Cricetulus griseus: one gene and its partners. The protein of the gene in region 1 purifies or fractionates together with the protein of each later gene. This does not show direct contact. Links are inferred from orthologs where the notes say so. Each region holds a gene or a part of one and is shown in the gene's direction. Other genes may lie near its edges. The genes, in order: Arhgap12, tight junction protein ZO-2 and Asap1.

The links.
Region 2: the proteins of Arhgap12 (region 1) and tight junction protein ZO-2 purify together in Homo sapiens (co-immunoprecipitation; 3 studies listed by BioGRID and IntAct, with this or other methods). This does not show direct contact. The link is inferred for Cricetulus griseus from reciprocal best matches to the Homo sapiens genes ARHGAP12 and TJP2.
Region 3: the proteins of Arhgap12 (region 1) and Asap1 purify together in Homo sapiens (co-immunoprecipitation; 3 studies listed by BioGRID and IntAct, with this or other methods). This does not show direct contact. The link is inferred for Cricetulus griseus from reciprocal best matches to the Homo sapiens genes ARHGAP12 and ASAP1.

What each region holds. Positions count from the first base shown.
Region 1 is NC_048596.1:208,385,801-208,389,447, forward strand, and holds part of Arhgap12 (rho GTPase-activating protein 12), read left to right. Parts: intron 1-896; coding exon 897-1,157; intron 1,158-3,647. UniProt on the Homo sapiens protein: GTPase activator for the Rho-type GTPases by converting them to an inactive GDP-bound state.
Region 2 is NC_048596.1:37,108,162-37,112,363, forward strand, and holds the start of tight junction protein ZO-2, read left to right. Parts: upstream 1-1,337; 5' UTR 1,338-1,470; coding exon 1,471-1,530; intron 1,531-4,202. UniProt on the Homo sapiens protein: Plays a role in tight junctions and adherens junctions. Acts as a positive regulator of RANKL-induced osteoclast differentiation, potentially via mediating downstream transcriptional activity.
Region 3 is NC_048603.1:24,006,716-24,010,362, forward strand, and holds part of Asap1 (arf-GAP with SH3 domain, ANK repeat and PH domain-containing protein 1), read left to right. Parts: intron 1-2,117; coding exon 2,118-2,304; intron 2,305-2,696; coding exon 2,697-2,782; intron 2,783-3,647. UniProt on the Homo sapiens protein: Possesses phosphatidylinositol 4,5-bisphosphate-dependent GTPase-activating protein activity for ARF1 (ADP ribosylation factor 1) and ARF5 and a lesser activity towards ARF6.

The sequences.
Region 1 (3,647 bases):
TACTGTGAATGTGTGTTTCTTTTTCCAATTACGTTTTCTAATTGTTTATTGAATTGAGAGTGATTAGATTGTCATGTATCTCACTAGGACTATAAAAATGTAATTTAAAATTGTTTGGGAGCTAGAGAGGTGGCTCAGTGGTTAAAAACATTTGTTTGTGTTCCAGAGGAGTCGTTTGTTGTTCTGTCCTGTGTGTGTTGTGCATCATATCCCCTCCCCCCCCCCCCCCCCACGCGCCCAAAACACGGGGCGGCCCACAACAGATGTAACCCCAGCTTCAGGGAGTCTGATACCTCCTTCTAGCATCATGTAGCATACATTCACATACACAGAACACAGAAATAAATCTTTGCTTAATTATCTAAAATCTTGGAATTTTAGAGCAAAAGGAAACCTTAGTAGCTTAAGTCCATCTTTTCTTTATGGGTTAAATATTTCACTTTTGGATAGATGAAGTGGTCTTACTTAGTGCTGTACAACCTTCTAGTCAGCAGATCTTGAATAGAGCCTACAGCTGTCAGTTAATTGACTATTGCTTTTAAGGAGGGAATCTGTCAGACACACTTTGGATTCTGTGTGAAGCTACTTACATTTTCAATCTGCCTGAGATTATTAAATCATAGCATTTGTGTCCATGTTTTTATATATTTTCCTTTAACATTTCTTGGTCATTTTCTTGTGTTGTTTTGAAATACTAACTTGCTCATTTATTGCTGACAATTAGACCATGAGCGTTCTGGACAAAGGTTGTATCAGAGAGCTACACCCTCAGCTCTTGATATTTTCCCCACGTTTTGAAATACATTAGTATAGTTATTTATATAAGTCTCTTAATGTCATTTCAATTTGTAAATGGCATGACATTTTAAACATGAGCTTTAAATTTTATTTTACAGGCAACCACACCCCCTAGTCAAGGAAGACCAGACTCTCCAGTCTATGCTAACCTGCAGGAACTGAAAATATCACAGTCAGCTCTCCCTCCACTTCCTGGGAGCCCAGCAATTCAAGTTAATGGAGAATGGGAAACTCACAAAGACAGTTCAGGCCGTTGCTACTACTATAACCGTGCAACCCAGGAGCGAACCTGGAAACCACCCCGATGGGCTCGGGATACTGGCACAAACCGAGATTTCCAGAGCCCAGGAGAGCTAGAGGTATGAGTAAATCATAGCCAACCAGTAAGGCACCCAGTTTTTTCTTCATTATTGAGATATGTAAGAAAGGGCTTGTTTTCTTGGTGTCAGTATGGTAGAGCAATTTATCTCTAGATACCAAGTATTTTCTCAAGCTTCTTTCTAACCTCTAACTGTTGTGCAGATGCTGGATTTAAAGAGCACTTGCTGCTTCTTGGGCTGGGTTAGAACTGTCCTTAGCCCTCTCTTCTCTTTACTGCATCAGGAGGCACAAGCACAGCAGATGTGGGCACTTGATGCTTCCAGCACTTGGGGCATGGGGCCTGAAAATCAGTGTCAAGGCCAGTCCTGGCTTCATAGCAAGTTTGAGGCTGGCCCATCTCAATAGCTCCCTCACCACCAAAAGGATGCTTATTTCATAAATCAATAAAAAAGAAAGAATGTAGGTGGCTAGACCTAGCCAGAGAAGTAAAAACAAAGATACTTAACTTGCCAAAGCAGTCACCTTCTTTTCTTTGTTAGTTTTCTGCCGATGTCAAATTCCTTCAAGTTTTTCTGTCAGTCGGATACAAGGTGACCTTTTAATTCTGGTTAAGGGAAGTAATGATAATTCCCTTGCTGTGGTTGGGTTAGTCAAGTGAGATAATTCCCTTACAACCCTTTTCTCCTAGAGTTAGATGACTGTTCTTTCTCCTGCTTTCCTCTCCATTGCTACAGGTGCTTAGGGAGACTTGACATTTTAATGAAGTACTCTGCTTTTGTAACTTAGGAGTGTAGGTAAAAGGTGGGTAGGCTTGGTGGGATGCAGTGAAGTCCTGTCATTTTGAGCTGGGTCACCCACAGAACATCAAGTCTCACAGGAAGCAGCTAGCTCCACAGATAAGTTCAGAGCTGCAGCAAGGAGCTGGGTCACCTGTCCTGCATTTAGCAGGATTTAAGAGCTTTGTAGCTAGTCTTCCTCTTCTTGTCCTACTTTTCAGTTGGCTATTCATAGTTCTCTTTGATGGTGACTTGCACTTTTAATGTTCACGAATGAGAATAAAAATAGAAAAACCATAGCAAAAATGTTCATCTATACTGAGAAAGTTAGGAAACTTTTGTCTGGATTACAGCGCTAGAAAGATTTTTTTGAAAATAAACCATCTTATATATCAATAGTGAAATCTTTATAATTATTAAGGAAAGGTTAAATTAGAGATTAATAGAACAATTTAGATATACACAGGAAATTTCTATGTATTTCTTAGCTTTCTAATTATGTAAATGAATGTCTATCAGGTCTCAACTTACACTTTCGGCACAGCAGTGATATTTTCAGTTTCTGGAGCACATCTTTTTATCACTTCTCTAGAAAGGTGCACATGGAGGAAAAAATGAGACCGTGTGTCTGAAAATGTCCTGTTCTGCTTTTGTATTTAATTAATCAAAGGCTTGAGTATAGAATTATAGGTTGGAAATGATTTTCTCTCACAATTACAAAGTGTTTTAAACTTCACTTGAATTGGCTATCTGGGTCAATTGTTTGTCTCCTGTTAGACCTGTTGCGTCTTTCCATGTGGATAGATTGGTCTCTATAGAAGTTTGCAGCTATTCTGCCTACAACATGGGGGCTTCCAGGGCATCAGGTCAGCATTCAATCCTCAGATGCTTCCTTAGTTTATGTATTCATGTCTTGACTGTGCTTTGCTTTGCAGCTGAGGATCTTATTGATTGCCCCCCCCCCCACACACACACACACACAGGGGTGGTGTGGTGGGTGGTGGTGGTGGTGTGGTGGTGGTGGTGGTGGTGGTGGTGTGGTGGTGTGGTGGAGGTAGAGGAGGAAGAGGAGGAGGAGGAGGAGGAGGAAGAGGAGGAGGAAGAGGAGGAGGAGGAGGACAGGCATGAAGCAAGGGATTCTGGCACCTTTAGCCCTCTTGTCTTTGGTACCCTGACCTTCACATCCCCCTTTTTCCCTTTGTTCTAATGCTGTTGGTTTCTGAGCCATCCCCAAATCCTGTCAAGTAAGTTTATTGTTCTCCTCTGCCCCTACTCCCTGTCTGCTAGTTTAGACTCTGCTCTCTTCTGCATGGCTAGTTGGGCGTTTGATCTGCAGACTCTGCTCTCCCTGTTCTTGTGGGTTTTCTATTGTTTTAGACAAAATTCCCTACAGTTATTTTTGTAAAATTTGAAAGGAAGTAAGTGGTCACACCTCTCTGTCTTACCTTAGAGCAGTGGTTATCAGCCTTCCTAATAGGTCCTTTAATGCAGTTCCTCATGTTGTGGGGACCCCCAACCATAAAATTGTTTTCAACCCTAACACCATTTTTGTTGCTATTTCATAGGTGTAATTTGCTACTGTTATGAATCATAATGTAAATATCTGATAGGCAGGATAGCTAATATGTGACCCCAAAGGGTTGAGAACCACAGCTTTAGAAGCTTATCTGGTGGTTTTCTTAGAACAATGGTTCTTACCTGGTGACACTGCTTTGCAGAAAAATGTGCTTTCCAGGACCTTGGCGGTATTTG
Region 2 (4,202 bases), about 170 Mb from region 1:
TGGACAGCCCCAGTCTAGAGAGGAAAAGGTAACCATTTAACAGGTGTAATTGCTGCGTTCCGGACCCTTTCTTCCTTTGTTGATGCTTTGTTGAGGTAATAAGCTCGTGAAAATAAGGTGTGACTGACTCACAAGTGCAGTCATTACCACTGTAAGGCGGCACCACCTAATTTGGGGAACCATTTTTAAACAGGTGCTTAGATCAGGAGCGTAATACAACGCGCAGGTCGGGAAGACCAGCCCGCGTCCCACTGGAGACGAGATAAAGTGGGAAATGTTACTCACAGCACTTACTCAGAGGCGTGGACTTCCTACTCCAAAGGAGGCCAGCAGCATAACGCTTTGAGGGCAGCATCTGCAAGACTTGTTTTTCCACATATACTGCCAAACTTGTCCTGATTAGACAGGAAGTGAAGCCACTTCTCAGAGAGCCCGCCGGCATCTGGATCTCGTCATGGGGCTCTCAGACCTTTCTTACTTTTTACCTATCAAATTTATGGGCCTAGGCTGGAGTTTGCCCTCCAATTTAGGGGAGGAACAGCGGTGGGCAACGCTTTGTCCTCTAACTCCAAATCACGTGTTTAATCAGTGTATCAGCTTTTGATTTTAAATACTTGATGTGCTCTTACAATAGGACAGTTTGTTTAAAGCGCACGATTCTTGCATGGTGGGGGACTGAATAAATCCTGTCGGATCATCACCCTTGTGGAGAGTGATTTCAATCTCTTTATTGGAGTTGCTGGCGATATGCCAAGGAGGTTACCTGGCCGGCATTGCCTAAAAAGTTCCGCTTTACTATTTAATTCTATGACCTTTGTACCTTTGGAATCTGGGTCAGCAGTGGAGCTGCAAAATTTGGGGAGCAACAACTTGTCTGTGCCGGCTGACCCCGCGGGCCACTTCCGACGCAAAGCTTCGGGGTTTCCCCAGTGGTTCTCTGGAAGAGAACACAAGCGCTGCCTGTGAGAAGCCCCGCGATCCTTTCTCTAAAAAAAAGGTGTCCATCAGGACGCCGCGCGACCTCTGGGACATCGGCGGCCGCGGGCCAGCCTCGCCAACGCGCAGCACTTCCCCGGGCGCGCGCTCGGCCGGACCTGCCTGGCTCTTAAGCGCGCGGTGGAGCGAACCATCCGGACAGCGAGGCGGGGGTGCCGGTGGGACGCGCGCAATCGGGGACCTCCTACTGCCCCAGGTCCTCTGTCGCCGGCCGGGAGTCCGGGCGCATGACGCTGCCCGCCGCGGGGTCTCGGGCGCGGCGCCGGCGAGCCATCCCCCGGCGGCGAGGGTGGTAGCGGCCGTTGGAGTTTCCCCGGCCGGGCGGCCGGCGTGGGCGCAGCTAGGCGCGGGGCGGGCCGGCTGCGCCGCGGGAGGAGGGACAAAGGGGAGGCTCCCCGTGGTGGCGTACGGGCCGCCACTGCAGCTTGTGGTTCTGAGCCGCGGCGAGGAGGACGTGCGGGAAGAGCGCGCAAGATGCCGGTGCGGGGAGACCGCGGGTTTCCGCCGCGGCGGGAGCTGTCGGGCTGGCTGCGCGTAAGTTTCCTCCCGGACCTGGCGGCGAGCGGCTGCGTGGGAGCGGGTGGGCTCCGCGTGGCTCCCCTCTGTGCCCGGGTTTGGTCTCTCTGGGCTGTAGGGTCCTCCTCGGGGGACCCGGGCGCAAGAAAGGCGAGGATTGCTAGCACGGCGCTGATGGCTTGTGGCCTCTCTGAATCACTTGGCTTTGAGATGAAATCGCCAGTAGGGGAAAGTGTGGAGCCCAGTGCCCTGGTGTCGGTCCCCAAGACTTTCTGTGCCTGTGGTCGCCGACTGGACGCCTGAGTGTGCCCTCTTTCTAACTTAATGCAGAGGTTCTAGCCACGGACTGAGAGAAACCGAGGACTCTTGGGTACCCAAATCCTCACTTTCCTTTTTAGTCAGCTGCCTCTGCAGTACAACTTCTTTTGCAGTAGGGAATGGAGATGGGTTTTCTGAAGAAACCCCAGAAAGAAATGATGAATGGTTTGTATTGTGGGAGTATCTTACCTGTCATCAGTACCTTTTATTTTATGTCTCCATTTGTCAGGTTTCCGCTTTTACACGGTAGTTTATTTTAAGGTATAAATAATCAGGGATTTCGACCTCAGGCTTTTTCACATTCTTGAAATGTGAAGAACTTGGGAGGGAACCTGCCAGGACTCAGTAATGGAATACAGCCTTCCCTTCTGTTTTAGCTTTAGTTCTCAGGCTGAGTTGCTTTTCTGGCGACTGTCTGACCTGAGTAATAATGGTTGTGGCTTTCCTGAGGTTCCCAGGGAAGAGTCATCCCCTCCCAGAAACTGCCCTGCACTGTACACTCCCTGACTTCACTGCTGAATCCTAGGAGAGAGGGAGAGACCTCCTCACAGCTTACTAGGTGGTCTGTTGGCTGTGCCCACAACCCCTTACAAAAAACAGGTCTATCTATCCTCCCAGGAGAGTTGCCCTGCCAGGCTCACCTGGGAAGAAAGTAGTTTTAGCTGAGAAATTAGTAAGTAGTAATTGCATTTGAGGACAAGTGCCCCTTAATTTCCATTTTCTTGAATAATATTGCTTTGATGTGGGGAATGCACATCTCCAGTTTTGTTAGGGAAACGAGCAAGGAGTAAAGAGACCAATAGTGCTATTTAGAAGTATGGACAGGGTGCTGTTATAGCAGATGAGAGGAAGGGAGGGAGCGTTAGCCAAGGTAACTGGCTTTGAGTTTTGTCCCCTGCCCTCTCATAGCTTCTTGGAAAGATTGATAAAAGGGAGAGTTTTTTCCTTTTCACATTCTCCTACAACTGTGTGTGTGTGTGTGTGTGTGTGTGTGTGTGTGTGTGTGAGTGTGAGTGATTGTCTCTCCTGTGGGTGTGTGGTGCTGGAGACTGAATTCAGGACCTCAAGCATATTTTGGAGTGGTATCTCCAGTGGCAGCTTTTTAGTACCACCAAGCTAACATTTGATGAGCGCCTAGTTGGTGCCAGTCACTTGGAAGAGCTACAGAATTGACTGAGACTGGATTTCTGCTTGTAGGAGTTTAGTGACACCAGCATGGTAGACTGCTTTAGATGGATCTGGCTTTACAGGATTCCTGGTACCGAAGGAGGGAATGTTTAATATAGATGCACACTCTGTAACAAAGAGTGAGATTGTCCTCTCTGCCTGCATTCCTTTCGGGAATTCTTTCAGGAAGGAAAGAACACATGAACAGATACTTCCTGATGTCAGCCACTGTAGGGAATTGCTGGGAATGCATCCACCTCACAGTACACTGGCATAGATTGGGTAGCTAGGTATATAGTGGTCATTGGTCCCAAAATTTAAGTGTGGGGTTTTCAATGAAGGATTTGGGTTGATACAGGAGTTGAAGTCTAGAAGTGTAGGTAGGAGGTGCCAGATAGTTGCCAATGAAAAATCTGAGACATAGAAAGTGTTGTACAAATCTCTTTGGAGGGGAGACCTTGAATGTCAGTAACAGAACTTTGGGAGTGGGAATCACAGAAACTCCTAATGTACTAGTAGTGGTCCGATTCTCCTAAGAGGCCTGAGAGCTGTTCTCCTAGCAAACACTCCTCTCTACTCCCTATATAGTAAAAGGTACTATTTATGAAGCTTGCTTAGGAACACGACCAGATTCATCTCATTGCCCTCGGGGGAATTCATTTGCAGTGACTTATGCCTACATTTACTTAACCCTTGATCTAGTTCCTTGCACATTGACAGCAGATCATGGCTAACCAGATATCTAGGTGCGGAGTGAGCACTCTGACAAAATACATATAAGTGCTTGGGAGATGGCAAGATTTCCACCATTTTCTTTTCACAAGGTTCTCTCTCCTTAAAAGGTTGTCTTTGAAGGAGACAGATCCTTGAAGTAGGGGGTGGGGGTCACTTTAGGTCATTGTAGCTTTGTGTACAATATAAGTTGTTTAAGAAGACTTTCCGAGGGCTGAAAATAAAATAAGGGGCCCAGAGGTTAAGAGCATTGACTGCTCTTCCAGAGGTCCTGAGTTCAATTCCCAGCAACCACATGGTGGCTCACAGCCTTTTATATTGAGATCTGGTGCCCTCTTCTGGTGTGCAGATATACATGGAGAATACTGTATTCTTAATAAATAAATACAATCCTTGGGGGGAAAAAAGGCATTCCACTTTGGTTGGGCAGTGGCTTGAAGTGTGGGTGCATAGGGCAGCTATGGAATTGGGAA
Region 3 (3,647 bases), on another chromosome or scaffold:
GCCAGCACCATCGCTGTGCCCAGGGTGGTGAGTCCATCCATAGTCAACCAGCACCATCCCTGTTCCCTGGGTGGAGAGTCCATAGTCAGCCGGCACCATCGCTGTGCCCAGGTTGGTGAGTCCATCCATAGTCAGCTGGCACCATCGCTGTGCCCAGGGTGGTGAGTCCATCCATAGTCATAGCAGCCAGGAAGCAGATCAAGCAAGAAGTGACCAAGGAGAGGCTCTACCGTCCACAGACAACACGCTGCAGCCACCCACTACCTCAGGTTAGCCCCTTCTACCAGTTCATCCTACCATGAACCCACAGGTGCATCCAGCCATCAGTGAGGCCAGTGCCCTCATGGCCTGGTCAGTAGCGTGTTACTGTCACTGCCTAGACACCAAGCCTTCAACACATGAGTCTGAAGGGGGATAGTTTCAAATACAAACCTTAGCAACAGATGTATTGGAATTCCTGTTTGCATAAGGAACTTGAAAGTAACTGGGAGACTGATAAAGTGTGCAGTCTGGCCGAGGAGCAGACATGGGACTTGTTGGTAAACACTCTCTGATACACTTCCACTGTACTTTTGAGCCCCATAAATCAATTTATTTAAAAAAAAAAAAAAAACTGAGCTTATAGTTTAACAGGAAGAGAAGAACTAGGAACGAGGAACTATGAGCTCAGTGGCAAAGGCACCAGATTCCACCCCAGTACCTGAAAAAGAATTAGAGGGAGAGCTCTCCAGATTGAATCCAGTGCCTTGCACATGCTAAAAAGTCTGCACCTCAGCCCCTAAGGGCTATGGGTAAATAGGAAGGAAGGCTAATCTTATTCACTGGTTGCGGAGGCTCTGTGAAGGGAGAGAGGACACCAGCCTAAGTATTTGGCCAAGGCTTCCATGGATACCAAATTCACACGAGTATTAAAATCTTCACAGGGCACACAGTCAGTCTGAAATTAGGAAGTTAGGCCTCCCGGGAGGCCTCTTGGCAGCAGTGGTCTTTTGCTGAATTCTGCACGTGCTTGCAGTGGGCTCACTCTATGCTGCATAGAAACCTCGATGCCTTGAGTCTCGCCAGAAGGCAGACACTGCCCAAGAAGTCAAACGGGTGGTTACACAATCACAGTTGTGTGGAGTGTGAGCACCCACGCCGGGCAACTAATAGCTGCCCGTAAACTCCATTTCCAGGAGGTCCAGGACCCTCTTCTGACCTTCTCAGGAACCAGCAAGCACACACATGAAGCATATAAACTCGGGCATACATACATGTAAATTCAAAATCAGTATATGAATCTCTAATGTGCCAGTGAGTAGATGTCTCCATTTTCAAATAAAAACCCGAAGCTCACAGTTTAAATACTTTCCCCAATGCCACATAACTGGTACACTGTAGAATCTGAGCCCAAACTTCCCTAGTGGGAAACTAGGGGGACTGACAGAAGGCTTCTAGGGTTTCAGGTGATGTCACCTGACCCCGGTTCTTTCTCCCTGGCTCTCATCTGTTTTTCTCTGAGCTGACTTCCATCTCAGTCTCCCTCTGTAGGTGACAGAGGGACTCTGGGCTCTTGGGGCCCTCTTCTCAACCTTGGGGCCAGGAGGTAGGCCCAGTCTCCCAGAATTGCTTCAGGCTCCATGGGGAGGGTGACTAGACACAGGCCTGGTGTCCCCAGCTCCTGCTTTTAAAGGGCATCTGTACAGGGAGGTCAACTCTTCTTTGTCCTTGTAACACTCCCAGTTCTGCCCGTGAGGTTGGTTTAATGACAACCTTTCTGAGGTTCAATTTTTCACCTATATGATAGGGGTTAGAGCAGAAAAATAAAACCGATTCTTCAGGAAGCTCTGCAAACTTTTGTCTCTGCTTTTCAAATCTTGCCACGTAAGTTGTTAATTTGATGTATTCATAGCATGTAGAAAAGAAATCAGCTATGATCTTTGTGCCCATTAATTTTGCCATTTTACGTAATACCTACACATATCAGCAAATAGCCGTTTCCTTGTTCTGTCTCCCTTGGACTTGGTCTGAAGCCTGGTTGGTTGTTTGGGAAGAAGCCCAGCTGATGAAGGGAAGGGGGAGAAGAAATGTCTTCAGCCCTTGTAAAGCAGAAATGCCCTGACCATTGTTCTTCTCAGGACCGCACGGAAAGAGTATATCACTGCAAAGTACGTGGACCACCGGTTCTCCAGGAAGGCCTGTGCCTCCTCCTCAGCCAAGCTGAGCGAACTGCTCGAGGCCATCAAGTCCAGGGACTTACTTGCACTAATCCAAGTCTATGCAGAGGGGGTGGAGCTAATGGAGCCACTGCTGGAAGCTGGGCAGGTAAGAAGCCCAAGTCATGGTCAAAAAGCAGAAAAGGGCACGTGGTGGCACACTTCTGTAAGCTCAGCTCTTGGAGTCAGGTGACAGGGGTTAGAGCAAGTCTGAGGCACTCCCTGGGCTGCACAGCTGAGATCCTGTCTCAGACAGCAAAAAGAAATCAGGGAGGGAGGAAGGAAGGAAGGAAGGAAGGAAGGAAGGAAGGAAGGAAGGAAGGAAGGAAGGAAGGAAGGAAGGGCGTTTAAATAAGGGATCACACTTCTCTGACACAGTTTAATGCGACGCGTGTATATTAGCTGAATGTGTCTAATGAGTGGAGAGTGGTGGGAGTGCTCCTGGTAATTGCTTCAGGTTGCAGACTGATCACGGCGTCTCTGTCCACCCTTCCTTCTCAGGAGCTCGGGGAGACAGCCCTTCACCTTGCCGTCAGGACCGCAGACCAGACGTCTCTCCATCTGGTTGATTTCCTTGTACAGAACTGGTATGGCTTTTGTTTTCTCACTGAATGAGCAGAGAACGATTTACTAGCACAGACCAGTCCTGTTGGGGACCGACACCAGCGCTCACAAGAGTGCTCTGTGGTCAGCCGGTTAAAAGGTCTTTTTACCAGGCCACGCGAGCTCAGTTGCAGCCCCTGATCTCTGCCATTTCGGTCACAGCAACCAGAGACCGCAACTTGCAAATGAGTTAGTGAAGCTGTGTACTAGCAAATCTTGATTTATTATGAGCCACACATGGCTCACTAGCTCCAGTTGGCCAACCCGTGGCCTTAATCAACAGGAATTCTTAGCAGCTCAGGTCAGTTATACTTGGGGGTTTTCATTGTCTTTGGTTGATATGAAGCAGCCATGGCCAGTTCGAGTGAAGGACACACTGATGGGCGTATAGGGCAGAACACTGGGAGTTTGCGGCTGCTGACACTAACTGGGCCATTCCATAAGCAACAGAGCTTATCCTGAGAGCAGCAACGAGACAGGAAAGTTGAACTCACATAGGCCAAACTGGGTAAAGTATGGCCTCCAGAGAGTGCCCGCTTATGCTCCAACCCCAGTCTGGAAACTGGGTTAGGGAGCACCGCAGCCTCTACCGGCCTCACACTGTTCATCTGCAAGATAGAAGCTACTCTACCGATAGTCCCTTGTGAGGTGACTGTGAAGACTAAATGAGGCACTACATACAAAAGCTAAGTGATGGCTGGGCATGGAGGCAAAGGCAGGTGGATGTCTGCACTTAAAGCCAGCCAGTCTACATTGTGAGTTCCAGGCAGCCAGGACTGTAGTGAAAGCAAAGCTAAGCAGCAGTCAACAGTGTCTGTCCCACAGTAGACAGTCAGTCCATGTGTAACA